Alligator mississippiensis: one gene and its partner. The protein of the gene in region 1 purifies or fractionates together with the protein of each later gene. This does not show direct contact. Links are inferred from orthologs where the notes say so. Each region holds a gene or a part of one and is shown in the gene's direction. Other genes may lie near its edges.

Region 1 (7,366 bases):
TTTAGATTGTTTAGGATTTGAAGTTGCAGTGGGTCTGGGAATAGAGACAATGGAAAATGAACTTGAATGAGTATCATTATTTGTGTAGATAACAGAGAGGGGAGTGGAACAAGTTAGCCTGGGAGAGGTACATGGAATTAAAGCTGTATGACTAAATGATTTTTTTTTTTTGGCTCAGTGGCTAGGCAGAAAAAAATAGTTTGCGTTCAACCCAAATGACAGACAGGTTGGATAACTGCACCCAGCCAACTGCAAGATCAGAACTTAATACTGTTTATTGTGCTGTGCCAAGTAGTAGTTCCATGTCCATGTGTGTGACAGAAAAGGAAATTTGAATCTGGTTTATCAGAACATCTGATAAATGTGGTTTGTAAAACCAGAAGGAAACTGGCAATAACACAAACACTATGGGAAACAGTTAACTTTTACTGTCCCTAAGTTCCCCTGAGATAAATTTTAAAGGAACACGGATACTTTGAAAGGCAACATCCCCTTAGGACAACACTGAAAAACAGCAAATGATTGGTACAGGCATCTTAGTTTCTTCCCAACAGATTGAAAAAGAATGGCTTGAGGACGTCTTGATTTTAACAACACTGGACCTTGGGCTGCAGGAATCTTAGTTAACCTAGGAGATGATCCCTATAGCGTGAAATATAGGCAGGATGTAGAAAACTGGTACATAAAATCTGATGCTTGATTTCTGGGTCCCCTAAGACTGGGAGAACCCCCAGCCAGCAGCTTCTCCATTGGGAGTATCAGTGGAGTTGCAGTTGATGTACTCAAGTTTGAGCAGAGTTCAGCAATCAGTATTCTCTAATGGCTACAGGTGCTTTTGCAAGATGACCAGAAACTTAGCAATAAGCAACCCTGAAGCTGTGACAGTAGCAGGAATCACACACCCTCCACCACTCTGGCACAACCACAAACTAACTGGTGCAGTAGCAAACAGTTTAACAGCACTCTTGGGGTTCAGCTGGCTATCTTTGTAGAACAGCACCACAGGAGCTGATACTAGCATATCCCCTTCCTTTTGTTAGCTTATAAAAGAGCAGTCATTGGAATTACAAAGTATACTCGAGTTTGGGCATCAGCCAAGAATATTGGCAAACCTTACGTGCAATTCCTGAAGAACAAAAGGATTGGACAATGTAGAAACCCTAGAATCCAAGGTTGAAAATGCTCATACCTCTTTCAGGGAAAAACTGATGAAAGCTTTTGATACAATGTCAAGATTATTATGTAACACCCTAAAGAGCAAAGTTTAAAGAGGAGACCTGGTCTGGTTCCACAAACCTGGAAGGAAGAAGAGAGAATGGGAGTCTTGAGCTGATAAATTTGAGGAATAATTCAATGCCCTACTGAATGAAAGGGTATATAGGATACAGCTGGGTCCCAAAACTAAACCCCAAGTTATCCATAACAACTCTCCCAAGAAGAACAGAATTTTAGCATGGCTGACACAACACTGTGCTGTTGAAACTGAGGCTAGAGAAGTTATCACAGAGATTAAATCCCCATTAGAAGCCAATGGGCCGGTCTTTGCCACAGGCATTCTTTGGGGGGATCACTGGAGGAAGACCCATCTGACTACAGAAAGGAAATCAAGCAGCAAAAGAAGGGGAATAAAGTTGTTTTGTGTTGGTTGTATTAAAATAGCCTGACAAAAAGATACAATGTGAACAGGTAGGCAATTACCTCTGTATCAGGTGTCATTTGTTACATTACTTCTTTTTCTGCTGGGTTGTTTCTAGGGTGCCACCAGTCTAGGCTTTGTAATAAGTTCCAGGTGGAGGTAAGAAAGGAAGGCCACAATATAGGGCACTGATACTGACGGTTTGTTGTGTGATTGGACCCCTGCTCTACAGTCATGCACTGACTGAAGAGTGCTTTCAAAATGTTCAATCATACAACAATCTGAATCCTCATTACACAAGGATTCAGACTGCCCCCAGTGCTGTCTTCAGAACGGGGTTTCCATCTGGGATTTGCCCCGCCTGCACTGGAGGGGCAGGGCAGGTGGATTGGAGCCCCACCCCCATCTCAGGGGAGTGGAGAGGAATGAAAAGCTCTTGTTTGGTTTTTAGCCTAGCAAACAAGGTTGAGAGGAAATATGACTGTTCTCAATTAATACATCAGGGATATAAACATCAGAAATGCAAAGTACAACATTGGCACAAGAATAAGTGGGTAGAAACTTGTAAATGAATAAATAAAGGCTGAAGACATGGAAGTTTCTAACTACTAGAGCAGGGATATTCTGAAATTGCCTCTCAGTAGAAGTAGAGGCAGCAAATTACTAGATTCAGGGTACATCTACATGAGATGTTTACTGTGGAGTTGCCTAATTAGCTCCACAGTAAAGTCTCAGCCTCTATCACGTGCAACCCTATTAGGCTGCAGTAAACTAATAAACACCGCTGTAGGTGAGTGCTTGTAAACACAAGTACTGTTGTGTACTTGTTTAGTGCACTGTGACAGGTATAGACACTGACGGGGCTGGCTAGGGCACAAGGATGCTTCGGTGTGGGAGCTGCCTGCGAGGAAAGGGATATGGACATGCTTCCCTCAAAATGTAGAAAAGACACCAATGTTTTAACAGGTGAAGAGAAATTTGAAACAGTATGTGAAGATCACCCTTGCCTCTATTTTCAGTTGAAAAATGCATGAATTTTTTTTCCTGTGGAAGCAGACCGGCACTGCACATTCGTATCCTTTAACGTGTAACCCATAGATGTAAATCCCTCAAGCCTACAGCACTTCTTAACATTCCACACCCACAAATACAATAGGTGCTTTATGCACACAAGTATGCCGTACATCAGTCCTATCTGTGTAGCAAAGCAGGCGCGTGGAAAAGAAATTGGCTTTGTATTGACAGAACATATTTTAGTTTTAGGGCTTTTATAGTCAAACTCTCTAAACCATGCTGCAAATAGATCTATGAAATACTGGCATGGATAGGTAGGTAACCTGAGCAACCATTTTCCTTGCCATACCATCTAACCTTACACCTGGGGAGAAATCATAGAAAGTTACGGCTGGAAGGGACCTCAGGAGGTCATCTAGTCCAACTCCCTGCTCAAAGCAGAAGCAGCCCCAACTAAAGACTCCAGCCAGGGCTTTGTAGAGCCGAGGCTTAAAAACCTCCAAGGATGGAGATCCCACCACTTCTGTAGGTCAGTGGTTCTCAACCTCTTTTGTACCAGGACCCAATTGAAAAAATTGATGGCCAGTCCTGACCCAGTGCCCCTCAGTCCTGACCTGCTGCCCCCAGAGTGTGGGCGGGGGTGGGTGTATGGGGGAAAGGGTGTTTGTGGGGCCGGAGGCCCCAAGCAGCCCCCTGAAGGCTGGAACTCTGCCAGCCCACAGGGGAAACACCACAGTTTCCCACGTTTTTCTCCTTTAAAGAAGAATCCATTTTTAAAGTTTGTTCATGATCCTTTCCTATGTTCTTATGACCTGCTTTTGGTTTGCAACCCACAGGCTGAGAAACGCTGGCTTAGGTGTAGGCGACTGGTGGGGGGGGCACATGCTGTTCCCGCACCGCTGCCGGCAGCTTCTCTGGGTGCCCCCCAGGCTCAGGAGGCACCAGCCACCCGTGGGCCTGGGTAGCCCATTCCAGTGCTCCCCCAGCCTCCTGATGCAACACAGAGTTTTGCCAGACTGGACCGTAAATTAGAGCCCCTCTGCCCACTAACACATTCTTGGTCTGGCAACACAGGCGAGACGAGGTCCCATCGCTGGAGAACTGCTGACAGACTGGCAGGGGGTGCAGGAGTTACCACCCATCCCTGCCGTGCTACATTAGTAAAAAAGGCTCTGATCCCGTTAAGCTTTCACGCCTGTCCTCCCTCTCAAGCCAAGCAGCTGCTTATGCCGTTGCCAGACTAAAGCCCGGCCTTCCTTCCCACAGATGCCACGGCAGTAACTCAGCCGGGCCCGCAGCGCCGCGCCGCACACGCGGGCTCCAGCAGCTTCACGCCCTGTCCCTGTCCCTGCCGCGGCGCAGCCGCCTCCCCGCGGCCCGAGGCGCGGGCGGTGAGTGCGGGAGAAGCGGGGCCCGGGGCGCCCAGAGCCATCCGAGGCCGTTTCACTGCACTGAGACTATGAAGCCACAAAGGGGCCGCGGGAGGCAGGGGCCTGGCCGGGCGCCCCTCAGGTCAAGCCGCGGGCCGGGCCGGACCGGGCGCATGGCTGCCGCGCGGGCCCGCCCCTCGGCAGGCGGCGTGCGAGCGCCGCCAGGCCCGTCTGCGAGCTGCGCCGCGCCGCGCCGCGCCGCGCCTCGCCTGCGGGGAGCGCGGCCGCCGCGTCGTGAGGAGCCGGCCGGGCAGCAGGCCCGAGCCCGCCATGGCGTGAGGCGCCGGTGCCCGCCTGCATGAGGGCGCCTGGCAGCGGCGGCGGCGATGGCCGGGGCCCGGCTGTGGAGCAGCATCCGGGCGGCGCTGCGGCGGCGCGACGAGCCGCTCTTCCTCAACGACTCCAGCGCCTTCGACTTCTCGGACGAGGCGGCCGAGGACTGTCCCCGCTTCAACAAGCTGCGCGTCGTGGTGTCCGACGACGTCTCGGACGCGGGGCCGGAGCCGCCCGCCAACGGCGCCCACCTCGGGCCGCCGCCCGACCGCGACTCCCTGCTGCTGCGCGGCGCCGCGCCCGGCGCCCGGCCCGACCCCTGCCACGGCTGCCGTCGCCAGCGCGAGCGGGGCCGCCAGGCGAAGGTGAAGAGGCGGCTGAGTCTGGCCGCCGTCCTCTACCTCCTCTTCATGGCCGGGGAGCTCGTCGGTGAGTGCGCCCGGGGCGGGGGGTGGGGGGCTCGCGGCGGCCTCTTCACTCGGTGCGAGCGGAGCAGGAGGTGGGGCGCTGCGGCCCGGGGGGAAGGGGTGTCGGCGGGGATGGGGTCGGGGTCGGGTCGTCAGGAGATGGGCGCGGGGCGACCTGTGTAACGGGCCTTCCGTGTGCTGTGAGCTGCCAGGTGACCCGCGGGGGCCCTCGGCAGAGCCGTGGGGGGGGGAGAGTGTGTGTGTGTGTTCATAGATTGTAAGGAATATAGGAATAAATAGTTGGCAAGAAAAGAAAGGAATATAGATATAAATACTTTGGCAAGAAAGGAATGTAGAAGGGAAAAGAAGAAAAAAATAAGGAATATAGGAATAAATATTTTGGCAAGAAAAATAAATCGGGTCACCATCGAAACGCTTGGTAGGACGCCTGCTGATGGATTTGGGAGCATCAGTGTGAGAAGATGCTCGGGGGTTGTAGCGCTGTACGTGGTGTTTAGATTGATTGAGTTCTGCCTGCTCAATCAATATGGTTTTTGGAACGATTGAGTTCTGCTCACTCAATATGATTTGGCTGATTTGACCTGAAACATGAAATATATTAATTAAAAATGTGTCAAATTACCATAAGCAAATAGAAAATAGTTTCCCTCTCCATGTATTTTCAGTTATTGCATCTTTACTGTTTATCATAGGAGGGGGTGGAATGTTTTGGGGCAGAAATGCGGCTTCTCAGGTTCACAGTGTCCCTCTTATCACGGAATACCAGTGTTTGTAAGAGATATGTGTGTGTCAGCTTGGTTATCTGTGCTCCTTGTCCTCTGATACAGCAGCACAAACCATTGGGTAACTGACAACCCCCTAGGTTGCAGGCAGTGCTTTGAAAAAAGAGCACTATCACAGTGCACTACAGGCAGTCCTTGACTTCCAGCGGCTCGACTTGCAGCAATCTGCACTTGCGGCGCTCTGCGTTTTACACCTACATTATTACTTATGGTGCTGATCCTCGCACTTATGGCATGCTGTAAATGCGAGAATCCAGCGCCATACATCATTCAGTCAGTGCTCCAGCATCCTGATATGCAAGTCCTGATGTGTGAGTTTCTTCTACTTCCAAATTAAAGAACCCAAGCTGCCCATTGTAGTCTATGGCTGTAATGCCTTTGCAGTGTTGAGGGGAGTTCTCTCTTTGAGCAAACCTAAGTAATAGAAAGTGAAATTCAAGCCGTGTCCATTCAAGAACCTTGCAGCTTGTACTTGGCAATACAGTACAAGTCCTGATGTGCAAGTTTCTTAGTGCAAGTCCTTAGTGCTTAGTGTTAAGCTTTTTTATATTCAGTACTGTATTCAGTCTGCTGTTTCTCAGTGCAGGGGTTCCTGCTTAGTGGCTTCCTGATATTTCTTAGTGCAGGGGTTTCTGCCTTAAAAATGGCTGATTAAAAGGAAAGGCAGTGCTCTAGTGATGGTGTGGGTTCTGATAAGAAATGGAGAAAAGTCATCACCTTAGACATGAAAGCCAATGTGATTGAGCTTAGTGAGAGTGGTTTGTCGCAAACTGAAATTGGTAGGCGATTGGACCTATTTCATACTACTGTGCAAACTATTATTAGAGAAAAGAAAAAAATAAGTGGTGAAATTAAAAGCTCAGCCTCATTGCAATCCACTATTATAAGGCAATGTGCAGGACTTGTGGCTGAGATGGAAAGACTTTTAATTTTGTGGATTCAGGATCAAACTCAGTGCTGTGTGCCATTGAGTTTAGCCACCATTCAAGCCAAGGCTTTGAGTCTTTTTGACACGTGAAGCAACAACATGGTGAGGGATCCAAAGATGAAAAATTCAGTGCACCTAAAGATAGGCTTACCCTTTTGCTTGGCTCAAATGCTGCGGGTGATTTCAAGCTCAAACCCTTGCTTGTTTATCACTCCAAAAAGCCCAGAGCACTTGAGGGTTATGTTAAAGGCAGCCTTCCAGTCATCTGGAAATCAAATCGTAAAGCTTGGGTGACTGGAGCCCTTTTTGAGGATTGGTTCACTGACTATTTTGTGCCAGCTGTTCAGAATTATTGTGAAAGGAACAGCTTTGCACATAAAGCATTGTTAATTTTAGACAATACCCCTGGGCATCCTGCACACCTTGCAGGTTTAGACCCTAACATCAAGGTTGTTTTCTTGCCCCCAGCAACATCGCTGCTCCAGCCTATGGACCAGCTTTTAAGGCTCCAGCCTATGTATTGCATCTTTTAAGGCTTACTACCTTAGAAGAACCTTTGCCCAGGCCATCAGTATCACAGATCAGGGGGGTGGACCAACCCTCAAGAGATTCTCAAAGACCAACAACTTGATCTCTAATGCTTATGCGCGCTACAGGGAAATTTACAATGAGATTGAGAGGGCAATAAAACAAACATCCCTGGATCAGTTTTTCAAAAAGCCATCAAGTGGCCCTAAGTCTCCTTCACTTTCCAATTAAATAGCAGATTTAAATATGGTGTTTATGGTCATTTGTATAAAAAGTTGGGCATCAGGCCCTTGGTCGGGAACATAACCCTCTATTATAACATTGTTTCTATGGGAAAATCAGATTCA
Region 2 (7,186 bases), on another chromosome or scaffold:
AGTTTATGCTTTTATAGTCTAAGTTTTCTTTCTGTCCCAAATAAGTCACATGGATGAATACCAATTTTATACATCCAAGTTTTGATTTACTTTAGATAAGTTTTTCCAGAGCTTGTCTCTTGACTTAGTTTTTTTGGTTGTTTTTTTTTTGTTTTTTTTTTGTTTTGTTTTGTTTTTTGGCATAAAAATAAAAAGCTAGATCTGATGAAACAGTGAATTCAGGTTTATCCCTCTAAGTTGGGGAGTACTGTGGCAGAGCACCTTTGGGGTGCTCACCATGTGGAAGGGGCTGTAGTAGGCTGGGACAAAGCCACTAGAGCAGGCAGCCAAGGGAAACCCCTGAATGTCAATTTTAAGGGGGGAGGTGTGTGGCAGAACACCTTTGGGGGTGCTTGTCACTTGAGAGCTTTCATGGGCTCTGAAGGGAGCCTGCTTTGGAGGAGCAGCAGTGGAAATCTCCTCAGGAACTATTTTAAGGGGGAAGGTGTGTGGAAGGGCACTGTTGGTGCCTGCCACTTTAAGAGTGGAGCCAAACAGCCAGCAGGTGCTTGATTGTGGTGGCCATTTTAGACTTCTGGCCACCTATATAAACAGGGCAGTTAGCTACTGGCAAGCCAGGCAGTAATATTGTCTGGTTGCTAAGACTCTATGCAACATTCTGGAGGTAAGGGCAGGAGCTGAAGGGGATGGTTTGGAGGTTCCTGGGCATGACCTAAAGCTGCACTGTGCCAGGAGTGGGTGGCTTGGTGGGGCTCTGTGGTGCAGAAACACCCAGGAAATGCCAAGCCTATTACCACCCTGGTGAAAGGCAGGTAGGGGCGCCTTAACCCTAGCCCTCATCTTCGGGTGGGTTATTTATCATTGGAGATAGTGGGGCCAGCATGGCTGGAGCTGCCCGAGCCCTGTGGAATGAGAGTGGGGGCCAGGCATGGCTGTGGCCACCTGAGCCCTGTGGGGTGTAGGACCCTGAGGAGAGGTAGTTGGGGCCAGGTATGGCTATGGCCACCTGAGCCCCAGTGAGGGGGTGGAGATGTGGCGCCCCAGTGTGGGTGGTGGTGTGAGATGTGGAGCCCAGTATTTTCTGAGTGTACAGAGTTACCCTGGGAAGGGACCAGAGCAAGTTTAGACCTGGTTGGGTAATTGGCTGGCCACTACCCCGGTGAGTGTTGTGGGATAGGCCCAAAAGATGGTACATCTGCTACCCAAGGTATGAGCTTGCTAAGAGCAAAGCAGTATAAATATAAGTTGTCGACGTGTGTGTGGCCTGACAATGAGGCCTAAGCTTGGTCCGGCTGTAAGCCAGGAGCATTGTCATCTGGATGCCATCTGCAAGGCTTGGGCTGCGGTGTAGGGAAGGAACGGAGCTGCAGATGGCACCCCTGGTATTGGGGCAAGAATGGGCAGCCTCCTGCCTTAATTAACAACAAGGCATGGCAGGAGAGACGGGTAGGTGGCATGCCCAAAAGCAGGCAGGGAGACTAGCACTGTGGCCCACTTTGCCACATACTGTAGCTATTTAAGAATGGAAGTGTAGAACTCAAAACTTAATTACAAAGATATATTATTTAAAAAAAAAAAAACTTGTCAGTTCAGACTAAATTAATTTTTTTTGTCTGATTTCTATTATCAATAAGATACAGCTGCATTTCATTTAAGCCAGGGTGTATTCCACTACACTATATCCAGAAGGATTAACTGTGGTGCAGCTCTGATCTACCTTGTCATTGAAGTCTGGACTGAACAAAAACAATCTAAGTACATTCTGTGGCTTTTGGATAACTCTTTTTGATGACTTTGCAATCTGGGCCTCTACCTGACCATGTAGCTACCAATATATTCCAACACTAAAGCCCATGTGTTTCCAAACCAGTTAAATCTGTGTAGCATACAGTTACCCTCTCTAGGTCTGGGTTCTACAAGGCACTCATTCAGGCTCAGACCTTTTGCCCAGTACCTTCCTTGTGATATCTGACCTCATTGCTCTGCCTCTCTAGACTCCTAAAAGCATGTCTGAGACCTCCTTAGCCTTGTCAGTTTTTTTTCTTTTCTCCATGACTTCCTCCCTGCTTCTGCATAGGCTAAATGGGTACCTACTAGTAACTACTTGAGAGAACATGCTTAGCAAAGGAAATTCTTATCTACAGAAACTTTATTCAAATACTTGAAGGGTTTTACATCTTTGAAAACAATGTATTACCCTTCTCTGGTCTGATCCCATGTCCTCTCATGTATCTGAAGTTTGTCAGCATTTGAGTGTAGACAGAATCTCTCCTGTTCTCACCATCCTGTCAGATTTTCTTACAAGTGGTGATGGTCAGTCTCTCTCCCTGAAGAGAGTTGTACTTAATTCTTAAGCAGGCCTGTCTCTCTACCAAGCCTTCCATCAAGAAACTCCAGTCATGCTTGCATCCCTCCTCCACCTTTTAAAAACTTTCATGTAGAAAGCTTGTATTGTTCCATGGGGATGGGCCTGTAGCTTAGTAGGCAACCAGCCATCCTTCTGGATCATGGTGTATGCATGAGAAGTCATCAGGACCTTTGAAATATATGTCTAGACAGGAGTGTGGAGGATGCCAAGACTCTCCATCCCCTACCTTTAGATGACTGAGATGGGTATCCAAAGGCCAGACTGGGTCTAGATGGTTGGTGCCTCAATAGCTGTAGTTATATGCATGTTTGAGAATCAAACCCTGATCTCCCACATAGTAGTTAAGGATTCTACCAGTGAACCAAACAATGGGTAAACTATTCCACACTGCTGTCAGCTCTGATACCGCACAGACCTAACACCACCTGCCACAAGGTAAGCAGAGGAACCATGGCAGCCAATGTCCTGCTTCTATGAAATGTTAATACATGCTCAAGATACCCGAGTAGGGAGCTCTGTTCCCCATTACATGGGGCATGGAAGGACCTTTCTGTGTTTCTATAAAAAGGTCCTTCATGTTATATATAAATTCCTTTCAAAGATCTGCAGTGATAGCAATGCCTTGGACATATGCTGGCTGATGACGTACGTATGAAGAATAACTTGGATACAGTGTGCATTACTTAAGTGTAACTACCATAGGCTAATGATTTCAAGGGGTGCCTTGAGATCTTTTCAGGAGTATTACACAATATTAGCACTGTTGAGTGTGCAAACACAAATCACAGGATAAACTTGAGGCTTTCAGATGGGAATCTATTGTATTCAAACCATTTTGACCAGTCATGGGCTTTCTGGAGTTCCGTGCCACAAATAGAGAACTAGGGTTGGAGGGGACCTTGAGGTCATCTAATCCAACCTCTGCTCAAAGCAGGACCATCCCAGACAAGGCTTTTTTTTTTTCTTTCTACCCTGGTCTTAAAAACCTCTAAGGGCAGAGACACTGCAAACAATGGCTAGTCTGTTCCAATGCTACCTTCCTTGAGAGAGGGTTTTTTCTAATCTCCAACCTAAACTTCCTTTGATTTGTATTCTCCCCCCCAGTCAAAATGTGAGTGACAACTAGGAGCTGGCAGGTTCCAAGAGCTGCCTTGAGGATGAAACGCTGGAGAACCGCTGCCCAGAAGTTGCCTCGGCCAGGCCCGTCTTCAGCCAGCAGGCTCTGCGGACCAACACGCCTGGCTTCTTCCCTGCTTGGGGAGAGCCCGGATCCACCACAAACAGGGGCATGCTCCTCGCGCCGATCGCAGCCCAGCAGCAGCGACGGGTCCAGCTGAGACGAAGCATTCGCGGGCCAAAGAGGCCTCCCACGCGGGCTCTCCCCTGCCCGCGGCTCTGCCGCAGAAACCGACTTACGACCCGCGAAGCCTGGACTCGCGGCGGAGACTGTGGCGCCGCCGGGAGGGGAATGCCCGCACCCTGGCGCGGCCCACGGGGGGCGCCCCGGCCGCGGCAGCAGGGGCAGGGCCCGGCTGAGGGAGCAACCAGCACCCGCGTCTCCTGTGGCTCCTCGCGGCCCCCGGCCCGGACCGGGCCCTGGTTTTGGCGCCAAGCGGGAGGCGGCGCCGCTGCGGCCGGGCCCCGCGCCCCAGCCCCAGCCCCGTCGCTGAGCAAGCCAGCGCGGGCTGAGGGGCCGGGCGCGCCCTGCAGCTGCTGGGGCGGGGCAGGGCGGGCGGCAGCGCGGAGCCTCCTCCTGGGCTGTCCTTCCCCGGCCGGACGGAGAGCGGCACTGTGTCCCCGCGGCGCGGCGCGGCGCACGCTCCGCCGGAGCCTCCCCCTCGCCCCGCTCCTGCCGCCGCCGCCGAGCAGCCTCCCCCGCCCCCTCCCTGTCCCCGGGCCCGAGCCGCGGAGCACGGAGGCAGCGGGCGCAGGCGGGGCGCCGGGCGGCCGGTGGCGGAGCCTGTAGCTGCGGCCGGCGCGGAGGAGGCGGCGGCGGAGGAGGCTGCTCCATGCTGCACCTTCCGGAGCTGCATGAGGTAAAGGCGGCTCCGCTCCCCCGGGCGCGGGGCCAGGGCCCTTTGTGGGCGGGCGCGGGGCTGCGGCCGCCCGAAGTTGAGGGAAGAGGCGTAAAGTGGCGAGCGGGCCGGGCCGGCTCCCCGGGGGCCCCTCCCGGGCAGCCGGGCCGGACCGGGCCGGGCCGGGCCGGGGGCGCGAGGCCGGGCCGGGCGCCGAGGTTTGTGCTCCCGGCCGCCCCCGGCGGCTCCTCCGCCTGCCCATAGTTTTGAGGCCTAATTGTTTAGGCCTCGGCTCCCGGCTCTGGGGCCGCCTCCGAGCACCCCGGGGCCTGGCCGACCCCCCGCCGCGCTGCGCTGGGCCAGGCCGGGCCTCCCGCGCGGGGCCTCCTGCCATCTGGGCCCAGCGCTCATTGTACGCGGCGAGGCTGCCAACTCCAAGCGCCGCCGGGCTGGGGCTGCCGCTGCGCCGCGCAGGGAGGCGCCGGGGGGAGGGGGGCGGCCAGGACTCTTCCCGGTGGAGGCGTCGGCCCTGGCTGGCGGCTGGTGAGGCAGGGGGCCCGGGGGCAGGCGGGTGCCTGCTCGCCGAGCAGTGGGGCCTTCTGCGAATTGAGGTTTAGACCTGGAAAAAGAGGGTTAGAAAGTCGCTGCCATTCCGCTGAACTTTTGTTTTCTGACCGATAGAGGCCGGTAGAGGACTGTGCAGACGGAAAGTTTCTCACCAGCGGCCCCAGGATGGACTTCCCTGCTACCCAACCAAAACCTCCTAGCGATGGGAAGATCATCTGCTACCCTCCCGGAGTGAAAGAGATCACGGACAAGATCACCAACGACGAGGTGGTCAAGCGTTTGAAGGTGAGTGCACCCCTCCCCCCAGCAACATTTGTCTCTAAGCACTACCCAGAGCAGGCATTTTTGTCTGGGCTCCGGCCTCCCGTTTTCTTGTATTCAAGGTGCCTATTCCTTGTCTGGTGAGCCTTGCAGAAATATTTACTGTTTTCGCTTTTCTTCAAAGGGCCACAAGTTGCTTTTGTTAATCATGGTACCATTTTACCTTGTTCATGATTTTATGTGTTTGCTTCAAGTGCTGATGGGGTTCAAGTAGCAGTGGGCTAATTTGTTTATTGTTTTGCAAGCTAATGGTTTAAACGGGCAGGAACTAAGTCCAGCATGGTTTGAAGGGGGTGTTAGGAGTAGAATTGTAAGTGTGAACTACATGAGACTCAGGCTTTGTGGTAGATGTGCAGGTTCTTCTGGGTTCCTGTGTTTTGAAATGTATGTTGTAGAACAAGTGTGGTTGTGATGCGCTGGGTTAACCACAGTACAGAAAAGTCATTCAGCTTTAGGAGGCCAAATGGCTGTTATTCGTTATAAAGTTAATAATTGTTCATTTTATAATGTGTGTTAGATGCATAGAAGTTGGTTTTCTGGAGTGTCAGGATTGGAAAAAGAACAGATTGTCCATGAATTATACAGAGAGGTATAGTTTGGCGTTCTCTGACTATTTAGTGTAACTAAGTAATTCTGTAAGGTCAGTAGACTTTCATAAGTAAATGCATGTTTAGTTGCATTAAATGGTCAGTATTTCTTTTGCATTTGAGAAAGAGTTTAAAGCCAGAAGTAAACCTGCAGGGTTCTCTGAAATTCAGGAAAAAGAAGAAACAACGCACTTTTGTGACATTGCCTTCGCAAAGCATGCAAATAGAACATCTCAATTTTTAATGGCACAAAATAATTATTTTTAAGTATATGCAAAAAATAGCGATGGAAGGCAATTATCAATCAAATATCAGAGCAGCTCAGTTATTAACGTTGTGGCCCAGAAGCTCATGCAAAGTTGTCTAGGATTTGGTTTCATGCCCAGTATGTACAATACTGTGCACTTCTAGGAGACTTCTGCCCTGTTCTCTCCATCTCATTTTATTGTGCATCTCCCTTCACTGTAGTAGCTGGCTGCTTCACAAGAACAAAAAATAACAATTCCTTTTTTTTGGTGGAAGCCAGTGAGCTAGATAGATGGGCTAGTTTTATACTTGATCAAAAAAATTACTTGCGATTGAGGAGGGAGTATGACACATGAATAAATTATTCAAAGAACTAAGCTTTACATTTTGTCCTTAAAGCTGCAGAGCCTGTGGCTATGTCTTGTGTAAGTGAGTTCTATAATCCAGTTGCAGCTCCTGTGAAAATTGTGCCATTTGCATGCACAGATGTCAACTAACATAATTTTTTTCTTTGTTCCAATGGAACATACTTTTGGAATGGGTTTGCTATAGAAAAGATCTGTTAGCTATAGTAAGTCCTAGCTCTGCAGAGCTTTGAATGCTAGGGCAGAGGCCTTCAGCTGAGCTTGTAGTGTTTGGGGAGCCATACAGCAAGCAGAATGCATGGGTGAAGTGTTCCTGGTAACCTGTGTTGCTAAGTAGATGCTGTGTTTTGTATTAGTTGGAGCTTTTCAGAGTGTGCAGTGCCAATTACAGTAACAAAGCCTCAAATTCATGAATGTATATATTACTGTAGCCACGTCCCTTCAGACACAACTTGTAGCACATGGAAATGGGTGTTTCCTTTTCCTGTTTTGGCTATTTGGTGATCCACTAATGTTGAGGAGTTCAAAACCATCCAAAGAGTGCAGACTAACTTGCTATACGTAGTATTTTTTTTATTTTTTTTTGTATATTAAGGGATATTATAATGGAGGCGACTGCTTCCAAGCATTTCTTTCTTTCCATTGGTGCCACCTTAGTCTGGCCAGATCTTGATTTTACTTAAACATTAGGACAGCTAGAAGATGATGTTACCAGCA

The links.
Region 2: the proteins of SLC30A4 (region 1) and PDS5A purify together in Homo sapiens (affinity purification with mass spectrometry; 3 studies listed by BioGRID and IntAct, counting the BioPlex papers as one, with this or other methods). This does not show direct contact. The link is inferred for Alligator mississippiensis from reciprocal best matches to the Homo sapiens genes SLC30A4 and PDS5A.

What each region holds. Positions count from the first base shown.
Region 1 is NC_081834.1:19,129,498-19,136,863, forward strand, and holds the start of SLC30A4 (probable proton-coupled zinc antiporter SLC30A4), read left to right. Parts: upstream 1-4,271; 5' UTR 4,272-4,406; coding exon 4,407-4,782; intron 4,783-7,366. UniProt on the Homo sapiens protein: Probable proton-coupled zinc ion antiporter mediating zinc import from cytoplasm potentially into the endocytic compartment. Controls zinc deposition in milk.
Region 2 is NC_081825.1:51,100,002-51,107,187, reverse strand, and holds the start of PDS5A (sister chromatid cohesion protein PDS5 homolog A), read left to right. Parts: upstream 1-4,176; 5' UTR 4,177-4,377; coding exon 4,378-4,404; intron 4,405-4,485; exon of another isoform or gene 4,486-4,601; intron 4,602-5,064; coding exon 5,065-5,235; intron 5,236-7,186. UniProt on the Homo sapiens protein: Probable regulator of sister chromatid cohesion in mitosis which may stabilize cohesin complex association with chromatin. May couple sister chromatid cohesion during mitosis to DNA replication.